2 linked regions of the Caenorhabditis elegans genome follow. The protein of the gene in region 1 interacts with the protein of each later gene in a pairwise test. Each region holds a gene or a part of one and is shown on either strand. Other genes may lie near its edges. The genes, in order: set-6 and lin-1.

Region 1 (7,317 bases):
CTGCTTGAAAAGAGTCAGCGGAGTTTTCAAATACTTAAATATCTTTAAAGACACCTCGCAATCCAGAATGATCATCAACAGGTGAGATTATCAGTATTAAATGATAAATTCACGTTTTTTCTTCTTACTATTGTTCATGATTAGAACAAAACATCGAATATTTAAAATCCTTTGATTTTAATTTGAAAAATGCAAATAATAAATTTACTCTTTATTTCAGAGCGAGAATCCGAACTTTATGAATGCATTCACTTTGTTTCTTAATCTATCACGTCTAAAATAACTCGATGGCTACGTGACAAATGCAATATTTTCTTCTTTCAATTTTAACACAGACATAGTTCACTTTCCCATCGATAAGATCATATTATGCTCTCTGTTACACCTGAAGACTCATGTTTTTTTGCTTTTCTGTACAAAATGTTAACCGTTTGGATGAATAAACCGGCAACGACAAAAATGCTCAGGTGAGGAAATTTGAAACATGACATTTTAGCCAAACGTACAGTCTGGCGCTTCACTATTGCCTGGCGCTTCACTATTGCCACTTATTATTGTAATACTGTCTCCAAACGTTTACAAGCTTTAGAATTCACACAATTTCATTCAAAACTTTTTTCTATTCGATGTATTATATAAATGCACATTAAATAAATTCATAATGACTATAAATACATCAACATAACTAAATAATATTTGTCACACATCTGGTTTGCTCTATTCGTAGTGCACTATTTTAAAACTGTATATGTAAAACTGTATTAACTGATAATATTAAATTCCAAAGTTCAGCAATGAAGTGCATGCTTAATAGAGCAAATTTGATACAATTATTACATAAATATTAAAATTTAGATCATATTTTATGGCAGTTATGAATCTTCGTCGGACAGTTCAATTTCAATAACGTTTTCCAAACGTTCACAAGTCGCTGTAGACAATTGTCGCCTCCATTTCAGGTTATATTTTGAAAAAGATACACATGGATCAACCCGAACCTCCTCAACTTTTCCAACAGAATAAAATCTTTCTATTAGCTGTAAGTCCACCGAATATCGAATGCGGGATGCGTGATGAAGTCTAACAAAACATGATGCAATCTGCAAACAATCCAATTCATATATGCAAATTTGGTGATACTTCATGTGTGTACACCATTGACTAACCAATTTCCCATCCAAATTTGAAAACTTCTCATAATGCGGCCCACTTCTACAGGCAAATGTTCTACAAAGACATCTTTGCCTTCGAAACACCTTGTATTCTGAGCCATAATCCAGAGTAAGCTGAAATTAGTAATTTAAATGGTTATGTATATAACATTTTCAGACAAATGGACTTCATAATTTGCAATGAAAAATTAAAAACTATGAAAAACACAAATTTTTAGGATTACCGTATTTTCCTTCTGAGTAATGCGTCCCTATTAGACTTGCTCTCTAAGTGGTGTATCGAAAAAATAAAATGTTCTTCAGAAATATTTTAAAAGTATATTTTTTAGTTGTTCGTTGATTTTTCAATATTTATCCAGTTGATTCTCAAGAAATAATGTGTAATGGGAGTAATTTAAGGTGATTTTTTGTCTTTCAAATCACATACAAAACTGTACAAGTCTTACTGATCAAAAAATATGATATGCAACCTCTATTAGACTCTCGATTGGACAAATTGGAAATGAGATTTGCATGCAAAATGTACCATATATTCTGAACTTTTTCAGTTTAATGTAACTAAAATGTTGTACCCGGAACAGAATTGACACTTTTTCAGGCAGGCCCATCTATGGCTGCTTTATTTTAAAAATATAAAAATTTCCTTACAGGTTCTCCTGGAAAAATGTCCTTCAGAGTGAAAAAAATCATTCGCATATTGGCGGGTGTAAATCCTTCTTTGAAAAGTCGAAGAGGTTCCATATTCGGAGTACATGAATGATTTGCAAATCTGCCAACACTTCCTTGCATTTTGGCGTCCAAGTGAAAATGATGCTTGCTCAATTCGTCCAGTACATCATAGTATTCTGGATTGTTTTTGTACTTTTCACGAAGCAGGTTGTAAAGGTGTTTGTCTCCTTCACAGTCAGTTAACTGGTAACTATAATTTTCCAATGAACTATGCAGCCGTTCTCCATCAACTAGTTCTCCGCAGTATTCAATAATTGGAGTCCCTGCTGGAATGAACAGAGTAGATCGAATTCCAAATCCAATTTGAGGATCTGCACGATAAATTTCAATAGAGTACAGTTTCTTTTGAATCAAGTACGTTGCATTATTAGTGCAAGCTCCTTTACAAGCACATTTTGGTGAACATGCAAACCCAACAGTATTGTAGTAAGTCGGATTTCCATCGTTGTACATAAGGGGTTGAAAAGTATGCTGAAAATAGACAATTTGCAAAATAATTATTAAAACTGAGAAATATACTTACAAATTTCAACTTTTCATTTGTATCCGTTGTTTTGTTTCTAGATTGCAAAAACTGATTTGCAATAAAACACGGGCAATCTTTGTTATCAAAACAGTTGACGACTGGATCTTGGGAACAACATTTACAACGAATCTGAATAAAAAAGCTGATATACTTTTACTAAATGAAATATTGCATTGTCATTTACTTTTATTTTTAAATCATATATAATTCCTTCTCTTAGAGTGTTTTTTAATATTCTAACAGTTTCAACCCCTTACAATTTTGAATTAAAAATATTTTAAACATAATTCAAACATAAAACTACTACTAGAAACTGGAAGAAAAACATTTTTTTTAAACATAAAGTTGATGAAAACTCAGTTTTTACCGTTTTATTCTCGGATTTTGAAAAAAATCAAAACGTTTTCCAAATTAAGTTCAAAATTTTACAATTGTGATATTTGATGATTTTAGAGCCATAAAAATGGTTTTTACTTGTTCTCCAACTTGACGTTCTCTACTACTACTTATTCTACACGTTTTTTCTTAGGTCGCTCATCACAACTGTTCAAGAATGTTTTTCTATTGCCAAAGCCTGTCGTTGCAAAAACTATCGAATTACAATTTTAATTTTTCAACTTGCCAGTTGTTTTATAAATTCGAATCGAAAAACATCATACCACATTTTCTGACGATCCTGCAATTTTGATTGCTTCATATAGCAACGGCTCTTTAACTTTGTCCACCATATTGTTGATAATGTGATCATAAAGAAGGGGGTTTGGAATTTTGACTGTTTTTAGTGTTTCGCCTTTTGCATCTGTGTAAACTGGAATTCTGTGGGTATCATTTGACAAGTGAATATCATCCGTAATACGAATCCGTGTTCTAGGCGCCACATATATCAACTTTTCAAAGTAACGGTCGAGCTCTCTGAAATTAAGCTTTATAACATATAAGTCTACATAAAAATTCCTCACTCAGGTATTTCTTCTTCCCCATGATCACGTTCAGGTTCTTCATAGAAATTACGGCCAAAGGTGGCCAGACATCGAACAGCCATAAACAGAGCTCTCGTGCTTTGCTCGGCTCCCATGAATCTTCGGTAATATCCATTCAACGTTGGGTCTAGCTCTATAATGTCGTCGAACCTAACAGCTTCTTCGTGCATTAGACGGATGTCGTTGTGTTTCTTTATTACTTTCATTTCTTTTTTCCAGTGTTCTCTTCTTTCATTCAAGCTCATGTCGGAGTACTCAAAAATAGATGGGTGACGAAAGTCCGCAATCTGAAAATACAATTTTCAGCTAGAACATTGTCAATAAGTAGATAATTTTGAATGATACAGTTGAGCACTGTTTTTCAGTTATTGTAAATACAACAGTTTTATTCAATTCGGTTTTCAAATTTTTAAAATCTGTAAATATGATTACCCTCGCTGGGTTGACGTTTCGTAGTTCTGCACATATAGTACTGTGATGAGGAGCAAACGAAGATATTGTGCTGTATGTTTTCCTTTTATGACGTTTTGTTTTTGTCTGAAAAAAAAACATTTTGTTGCACAAGGAGGGGTCTCTCTAAATCTCTCTGTAAATGTTCTTAGCGAATTTGAACTAACGGAATTCGGTGGCAATAAAATATGTAAAACCCACTTGGCGTGCTGGAAATGTACATGATGTGGATGCTTCCATTGAGCTCGATGAGGTCCTACTCTTTTTTCGAGACTTAACTTCCAGTTTTCTTTCTTTCGAATGCTGGAATTAGTATTATTGTGAAAATTATGTTTTTTTTGTAGCAATTGTTTGATATACAAACAAATTCTCATCACGTACGATTAAAATATGAACATATCAGGGAGTCAAACAGTTCAAGAACAATTTTGATAATGGCCAATGGATGAAAACCGTATTTTTTCTGTATTTTCACATTCAAAACTTTTTTTAAAAATTTCTAGTTTCTAGCATGAAAAGTGAACATTGTCATTAAACAAATACAATTTGAAAGTAGTTTTTAGTTATAGAAGTGAGCAATCCAGTTAATCTGCATTCCAGGCCGTTGTCACTTCTGAGTAATTTGCTCTAGTGACTATTCACGTTCGAATCATTTTTCCAGAGTTCAATAAATTTGGAGCTGAAAGTCGCCAGACTGCTTCAATGAGCATTTGACGTTATACTTATTTAAAAATTAGTAGCAAGCTGCACATTTCAATTTCATACTTTTTTTCAGTACTGTGCAGAGAATACATTTTTTGTTAAAATTAGGCTAGTAGATATTACCGTTGAAATTGTTATATTTGAAGAATCTCGTTTCAAAAATAAAAACAACCTACTAATCTATGAAAAGATTCAACTGATCTTCTACGCTTTTCCGTCAAATTATTTGAAATCGCTCGATCAACAACTTCCTGCTGGTTTCTTTCCGTAGCCTGTAAAATGACTGTGATTAGGCGGAACTATAAATTTGCAACTATTCAGAATATATATCTTTTTGTTTGTTGAGAAGTCAAAAACATTGAAAACTTACTTCAGATTCATCATCACTAATTGTAATTATAATAGACCGTTCAACAGAGCTATTTGATGTGCTAGATAGGGAGTGATTTCTTTCATCTGAATAACTATTTGATGAGATGGGGCTTTTCCGTGGTTCTTCCCAAATGGTCAGTTCCTGAAGATAAGTTATCGTGAAAATGAAATCTAGGAAACGTTTCTATTTCAAACAAACTTCCATCTACAAAAATGGCACTTACATCGTCGTCGTCACTTATTGTTATTATTGGAACATTTGCTGTTGACATTGAATATGTTGATGAACCTCCAGTTCGAGATCGTTCCATTTTCTATAAGCAGTAAACTAATTAAAGTTGTGGAAAATGAATTTCATGTCGATGAATAAAAAATTACGATTATTACTATAGTACAAAGAAAAAATAAGATTCAATTATTGAAAACTTTCGAAAAAAAGAACTAACAATATGACAAGTTAACTCGCGTTTTGAAAAAATCAATAATCTTGTCCAGTGAAAAAGCGGAACAAATAGAGAGCAGACGTACTAACAGACGCAGATACTAAAGCAGTTTGAGAGAGAAGAGAGACTGGAATTGGGGAAGAGAGATTTAGAGAGTGCATTCTAACCAGTTCAATTGACTGACAAATGTGAGAGGAGCGAAGACAATATTAAAATCTTCAATTGTATTCGTATGAGCAGTATCAAAATTTAGAAAAAAAAGCCTATTAGTAAAATGTTATGTCTTTAAAAGAATGAAGGCACAAAAGACAAACGATATAGCTAAATACGATACGATATAGCTGAATACGATACGATATAGCTGAATAATTTTAGAATATACCAACAATATTCCAGTAGGTACAAGAAGCTTCACGTAGTTACAGAAATAGTACATTTTCAGCCCTACCTTTTAGAGCGTATTTTATTATTTAATAAAAACTACCATTAATAGGCAAAAATAGATGAATTTTTGTAATTTTGAAAATTCATAAATCTCTTCAAAGTAACTTTTTTTGAAATGTCTTTCAGAAACTTTGTAGTAAATTTTAAGCTCTTTCAGAATATATTAACAATATTTCAGTAGTTACAAGAAGCTTCACGTAGTTACAGAAATAGTACATTTTCAGCCCTACCTTTTAGAGCGTATTTTATTATTTAATAAAAATTCATCTATTTTTGCCTATAAATGGTAGTTTTCATTAACTAATAAAATACGCACTAAAAGGTAAAGCTGAAAATGTACTATTTCTGTAACTACGTGAAGCTTCTTGTACCTACTGGAATATTGTTGGTATATTCTAAAAGAGCTTAAAATTTACTACAAAGTTTCTAAAAGACATTTCGAAAAAAGTTACTTTGAAGAGATTTATGAATTTTCAAAGTTTGGAAAATCCATCTATTTTTGCCTATTAATGGTAGTTTTCATTAACTAATAAAATACGCACTAAAAGGTAAAGCTGAAAATGTACTATTTCTGTAACTACGTGAAGCTTCTTGTACCTACTGGAATATTGTTAATATATTCTGAAAGAGCTTAAAATTTACTACAAAGTTTCTGAAAGACATTTCAAAAAAAGTTACTTTGAAGAGATTTATGAATTTTGAAAATTACGAAAATTCATCTATTTTTGCCTCTAAATGGTAGTTTTCATTAAATAATAAAATACGCATTATAAGGTAGGGCTGAAAATGTACTATTTCTGTAACTACGTGAAGCTTCTTGTACCTACTGAAATATTGTTAATATATTCTGAAAGAGCTTAAAATTTACTACAAAGTTTCTGAAAGACATTTCGAAAAAAGTTACTTTGAAGAGATTTATGAATTTTCAAAGTTACGAAAATCCATATATTTTTGCCTATTAATGGTAGTTTTTATTAAATAATAAAATACGCATTATAAGGTAGGGCTGAAAATGTACTATTTCTGTAACTACGTGAAGCTTCTTGTACCTACTGAAATATTGTTAATATATTCTGAAAGAGCTTAAAATTTACTACAGAGTTTTTGAAAGACATTTTGAAAAAAGTTACTTTGAAGAGATTTATGAATTTTCAAAGTTTGGAAAATTCATCTATTTTTGCCTATAAATGGTAGTTTTAATTAAATAATAAAATACGCATTATAAGGTAGGGCTGAAAATGTACTATTTCTGTAACTACGTGAAGCTTCTTGTACCTACTGAAATATTGTTAATATATTCTGAAAGAGCTTAAAATTTACTACAAAGTTTCTGAAAGACATTTCGAAAAAAGTTACTTTGAAGAGATTTATGAATTTTCAAAATTACGAAAATTCATCTATTTTTGCCTCTAAATGGTAGTTTTCATTAAATAATAAAATACGCATTATAAGGTAGGGCTGAAAATGTACTATTTCTGTAACTACGTGAAGCTTCTTGT
Region 2 (5,288 bases), on another chromosome or scaffold:
AATTTTATTAAAATAAAATTAAAGACATCCGAGGTATAGGCTGCTAAAGTAGAGCAAGAGTGGGTTCATTCGACGCACTGCCACGACTTTCCTTCTTTGACAGCCTATATCTCTAATCATTTTTAGAATGTTAGTAAGTTTGACATTAGAACAATATAGAAAAATGGCTGAAAAATGTTTTGTTAAAATGACAGTTTCAAATAAAATCAAAAGATAACCGTGGTATGAGCTGGCAAAGTTGAGCGTGTGAATTCGATGCACCATGTTTGATCCTCTACACTTTAGAAGACCATATTTCGATCGATTTTAAAGATATCAACGTATAGTAAACTAGAAAACTATAGAAAAATACCGTATTTCTTCTATTAATATGGCTGCAATACTATTTTTCGATGGTCTTCCCGCTTGCAATACTAATAGGGAGTGCAAGACTATTAGGGAGTGCAATACTAATTTTCAGAACATTTTTCTGACTTTGAGCTTACTAGTTTTTTTCTGAAAAAGCTCGAATCTTATGTAAAAATTCAGAAAATTTGCTTTTAATTGTAACATATATAATAAGTTCAAAAACTTCAATCTCGTAGAAATGTTGTGAAAAACTGTTGCAAAATAGGCAAATTTTTTTGTTGAAATCCTGAAGTTAACAAGACGGGCCTGCAATAAAAAAGAGTAAACGCAAGGCTATTAGGGAGTGCAAGACTAATAGGGAGTGCCATACTAATTTTCGGAAGGTCTCCGAGGGGCAATACTAATAGGGAGTGCAAGTCTAATAGGGAGGCCATATTAATAGAAGATATACGGTATGTGAAAAACAATTTTTTAGTTGGCAATTTTCTGATAAAACCAATGTCAATCAAGATGTCAACTGATAAAGTTGCATAGGCTGCCAAAGTGGGTTCATTTGAGGTTCAATTGATGCACCATGTCGTTCCTTCTTGGACAGCCTATATCTCTATTTATTTTAATGCTAGTAATTTTAAAATGAGAAAATTATAGAAAAATATTTGAAAAATGTTTTGTTAGTTGTCAATTTCAAATAAAATCAAAAGACAACCAAGATATGAGCTGTCAAAGTTATGCAGTTAAATCCTCCTCACTTTAGAAGCTCTAATTTCAGTTGATTTTAAAAATATCAAAATATAGTAAACTAGAAAACTATAAAAAAATATGTGACAAACATTTTGTCAGTTGACAATTTTCTGATAAAACCAATGACAACCGAAATATAAACTGGTAAAGTTGAAGTTTTTTTTCGATGCACCATGTTCGTTTAATATGATGATTTTCTAATTTTCCAAAATAGTTATATATTGGCAAGTGGAAAAAAATTTGGTTTGTTTTAAATTGATTAATAATGTTAATTGCATAATTGTACAATATTTTGTCAGTTGACAAAAACAACCAAGTTTTCAAAGTTAAGTCTCGAGCAAGTTTCGGTTTCCTACGTTGTTTGGCGGGTTTTCAAAGAGTTTTTTGGGCAATTTCAGACAATTTTGAGCTATTTTGAAGTAAGAAGACATACAAAAACATTGCAGGTATTATAAAATAATTATCAAATAGCTAAAAAAAAATTCTTCATTACACTTAAACAACTTTTGAGCAGACCAACTTTTGTGATTTCCAATATATGATTTTACTTTTAAAAAAAATCTAAGACTAAACCATTTCCCTCAACTTTTAAATTATTCTAACATTAAACCTCTCCTCTTCCGTTTAAAATCGTATTAGCCAAGGGAATTAGGCCTTTGAAACTAAAACTTTTCCCTTGTGTCTTGTGTCACAACGCATTAAAATTTGAAGATATTAATAATTGTCCCACTTTCCACATACTTCATTCTTTTTTTATGAATTGTACAGTAGGCCTTTATGCCTGCCTGGTGCCTAGAGTAGGCATAAGGTAGGCATGAGATCGTAAAGTGACAGCAAGTTTTGCTCATATCTTAAAATTATCGTGTTTTTATAATGTAGATTCAATTCAACAATAAGTGAGCAAAAAGTGTTGTAAATTTCCGCATTTTACAGCCCCCCTCCCGTCCCTTGTTATCTATAGAGTCACTGAAAATAGTAGCCAGCTCGTCACTCATTGCCACGTCATCTTTCATCAGCCGCCGCCACCCCGTACCATTTTCCAGGTCAAAAGAAAGCGCCGACACTCTACAGTTTACACGAAAATGAATCACATTGACCTTTTGAAGGTTTGTCCACTGACTTCATGACTCCTAAATAGTATTCTTTTGCAGGTCAAAAAAGAGCCGCCGTCGAGTTCGGAAGAAGCCGAGGAAGAAGAATCTCCGAAACATACGATTGAGGGAATTTTGGATATAAGAAGTTAGTTTATTTTTTATAGTATTTGGAGCAAAACACACTTGCTACTAAAAGCAAATGTGCTCAATGAAGTTTGGCTCAAAATTGCTGATAGTGATTTTTATTTTGAATGAAAAATTTCACATTTTTCGGCAATTTGCTTATTGTGATTTGAACAGTCGAAATGTGAAATGAAAAATTAGGGGACATGGTGCATTGATTGGGCAACTTTGGCAGTTTATATTTCGGTTAATGTTTAAGATACGAAAAAATATGTAACTACAAAGTTATAGAACAACATATGAAATTTGTTTTGTTAGTTAAAAGTTTTTTGATAGAACCAAAGATAGCCAAGGAAAGTGGTGACAAAGTTATGCACCATGTTTGAACCTCTACACTTTAGGAGCACATATTTCGGTTCATTTTTAAAATATCAACATATAGTAAAATACAAAACTATAGAAAAATATGTGAAAAACAATTTTTTAGTTGACAATTTTCTGATAAAACCAATGTCAATCAAGATATCAACTGATAAAGTTGCATAAGCTGCCAAAGTGGGTTCATTTGAGGTTAATTTGTTGGACAGCCTATATCTCTATTTATTTTAATGCTAGTAATTTTAAAATGAAAAAATTATAGCAAAATATTTGAAAAATGTTTTGTTAGTTGACAATTTCAAATAAAATCAAAAGACAACCAAGATATGAGCTGATGCACCATGTTAAATCCTCCTCACTTTAGAAGCTCTAATTTCAGTTGATTTTAAAAATATCAAAATATAGTAAACTAGAAAACTTTAAAAAAATATGTGACAAACATTTTGTCAGTTGACAATTTTCTGATAAAACCAATGACAACCGAGTCAATGACAATGACAATGACAATGACAACTGGTAAAGTTGAAAGGATGTTCGAACAATATGATACTTTTCTACTATAGTGGCAAGTGGAGCTATTGGCACATTCTCAAAATATTTTACTAACTAGTCTAGTAGAACAAGTTTCAAACCAATTTGTTCTTCCTGCCAGACGGCTGAATAAACCGTAACGACCATGCTCTTCCACCTGTCGGTTGATGCTCAACTACTGATTCCTCTCCCTGCCACTTTTTTCTCTTTTTTTCTGAATTTAGTTTTGGTTTTTGCGGGTAAAATCCGATAAGAATTGATGAATGTGTGTCGCTTTGGGTAGAGCAGCTAATCCGTATTTGGTTTTAATGATGATTTGATGATTTAGTATGGTGTTTCTTTTTTCTCAAGTTTTTGAGTAGAATTTTCAAGAAATTTGTGAGAAAAATGACTTAAATTTTGCCAAAACATAGGGTATTTTTTAAAACTTTGAGCAGAATTTTCAAAAAAAATAACACGATAAAATTCAATTCTAAAATAATTGTCAAGACGAAATTTTCGGTATAAATCCAACTCCCTCTATACATATTTCCGCCTCACAGTACCGCAGGTCCCCCATTTTTGTTTGATTTCTACCGCATTTTCACACCCAATCACTTTTGTATATATATACATACGACATATGGTGTCAATTAATAAGTCGGAGGGGAGGGTGTGTGTTTGATACGTTTATATATTTAGATACTTCTTGTTGAAGAGTCAAGTTAAATCAAACCACATGACAATGTTTAGAGCTTTAAAGGTTCATAACTGGAACTATTGTTTTTATATCCATTTGCAAAACGTTACATTAAACACATGGCTGGAATAAAATACAACCTTTTGTCTTTACTATGCCACAGAGTCTGTAATAGTGTCCTCCAATAATTTAATGCATTTTTACGTGCTTTGCAATTTTTCTGAAAGTATCTTCAAATGGGTGAAAATCACTCATTTTGATATTCTTCTATACCTTTGAATTTTCTTGATATATATGCTTTACTGTTACCCCTAAAACCATCCCAACTAGCATCTGTTCTTCACTATTTACGGGTCTCTTGTCTTCCTTATCTGTTGTTATTGTTGTTGTGCTCTTTCGGAGCAGCTGAAGTTGCGGATTAAAGTCATCTGCGACCAAAATTGACGGATCGGAATATATGGCCGACAAAGAAGAGGTGCTTGAATGGGGTGAAGTGGGGGTCCTAAAAAGATCAGTCATCCGGAATGTTTTTAGGGTAGTATCATATGAAAAACCCCTCTACTCAATTCATATTAAATATTTTGTCAGCCCCTGAAACCTCTTTATCCAACAAGAAAACCGTACTAATGATAGGTTATATCGGAAAGATGTGGAAGGGTGGAACATAAATATTATTGCGTCTTCACGGATTTTTGTGAGATCATCATTTTGGAGATAACCAGGGGGGAAGGTCATCAAAAGGTGCGACTGATAGGCATCTGGTAGTGCATGATTCAGTTTTAGTAGTGTATTTGCTTTTTTTTGAGGACATGAGAAAAATTTAGGAAATTTTTGAACCCACCTTGAGAATTTTGGAATAACTGCTGTAGCCTCTCCTAGGGCTTCCACCAGGGGTGTGCGGCAAATCTCAAAATTTGCCGAGCTCGGTAAATTCGGCAAATCTCTTTTTTCAATATTTGCCGAGCACGGCAAATTCGGCAAATTCGGCAAATTCGGCAAATTCGGCAAATTCGCCGTGCTTAACAAACTCGGAAAAATTTGATATTTTTTTTATGTTTTTTGGAGCACCAAAACTACTGAATTCTTAACACACATCTGGTTTCTGAATAAGTTCCGCGTAGTATGTCTGTTTAAGCATCAAAATAGCTCAATTTTGTATCATTTTACTAAATTTTTGGCTAAAAAATCAATAGTTTTAGTCAAAATTGTACTGTCAAATTTTTGACGTGTGCGGCAAATTCGGCAAATTCGGCAAATCTACTTTTTTGAAATTTGCCGTGCTCGGCAAATTCGGCAAATTCGGCAAATTTGCCGCACACCCCTGGCTTCCACGTAGGCGATAAAACGCCTGCCTGCCTGACTTTAAGGCAACCTCTGCCTGCCTCTCGTGAACT

Evidence for each region.
Region 2: the proteins of set-6 (region 1) and lin-1 interact in a two-hybrid assay, tested with the Caenorhabditis elegans proteins (one study listed by BioGRID).

Annotation. Positions count from the first base shown.
Region 1 is NC_003284.9:11,969,435-11,976,751, forward strand, and holds set-6 (Histone-lysine N-methyltransferase set-6), read right to left. Parts: upstream 5,246-7,317; 5' UTR 5,243-5,245; coding exon 5,156-5,242; intron 5,074-5,155; coding exon 4,930-5,073; intron 4,832-4,929; coding exon 4,736-4,831; intron 4,161-4,735; coding exon 4,059-4,160; intron 3,945-4,058; coding exon 3,840-3,944; intron 3,695-3,839; coding exon 3,387-3,694; intron 3,340-3,386; coding exon 3,087-3,339; intron 2,557-3,086; coding exon 2,425-2,556; intron 2,373-2,424; coding exon 1,821-2,372; intron 1,287-1,820; coding exon 1,167-1,286; intron 1,101-1,166; coding exon 873-1,100; 3' UTR 596-872; downstream 1-595.
Region 2 is NC_003282.8:2,297,170-2,302,457, reverse strand, and holds the start of lin-1 (ETS domain-containing protein), read left to right. Parts: upstream 1-2,171; coding exon 2,172-2,195; intron 2,196-2,240; coding exon 2,241-2,328; intron 2,329-5,288.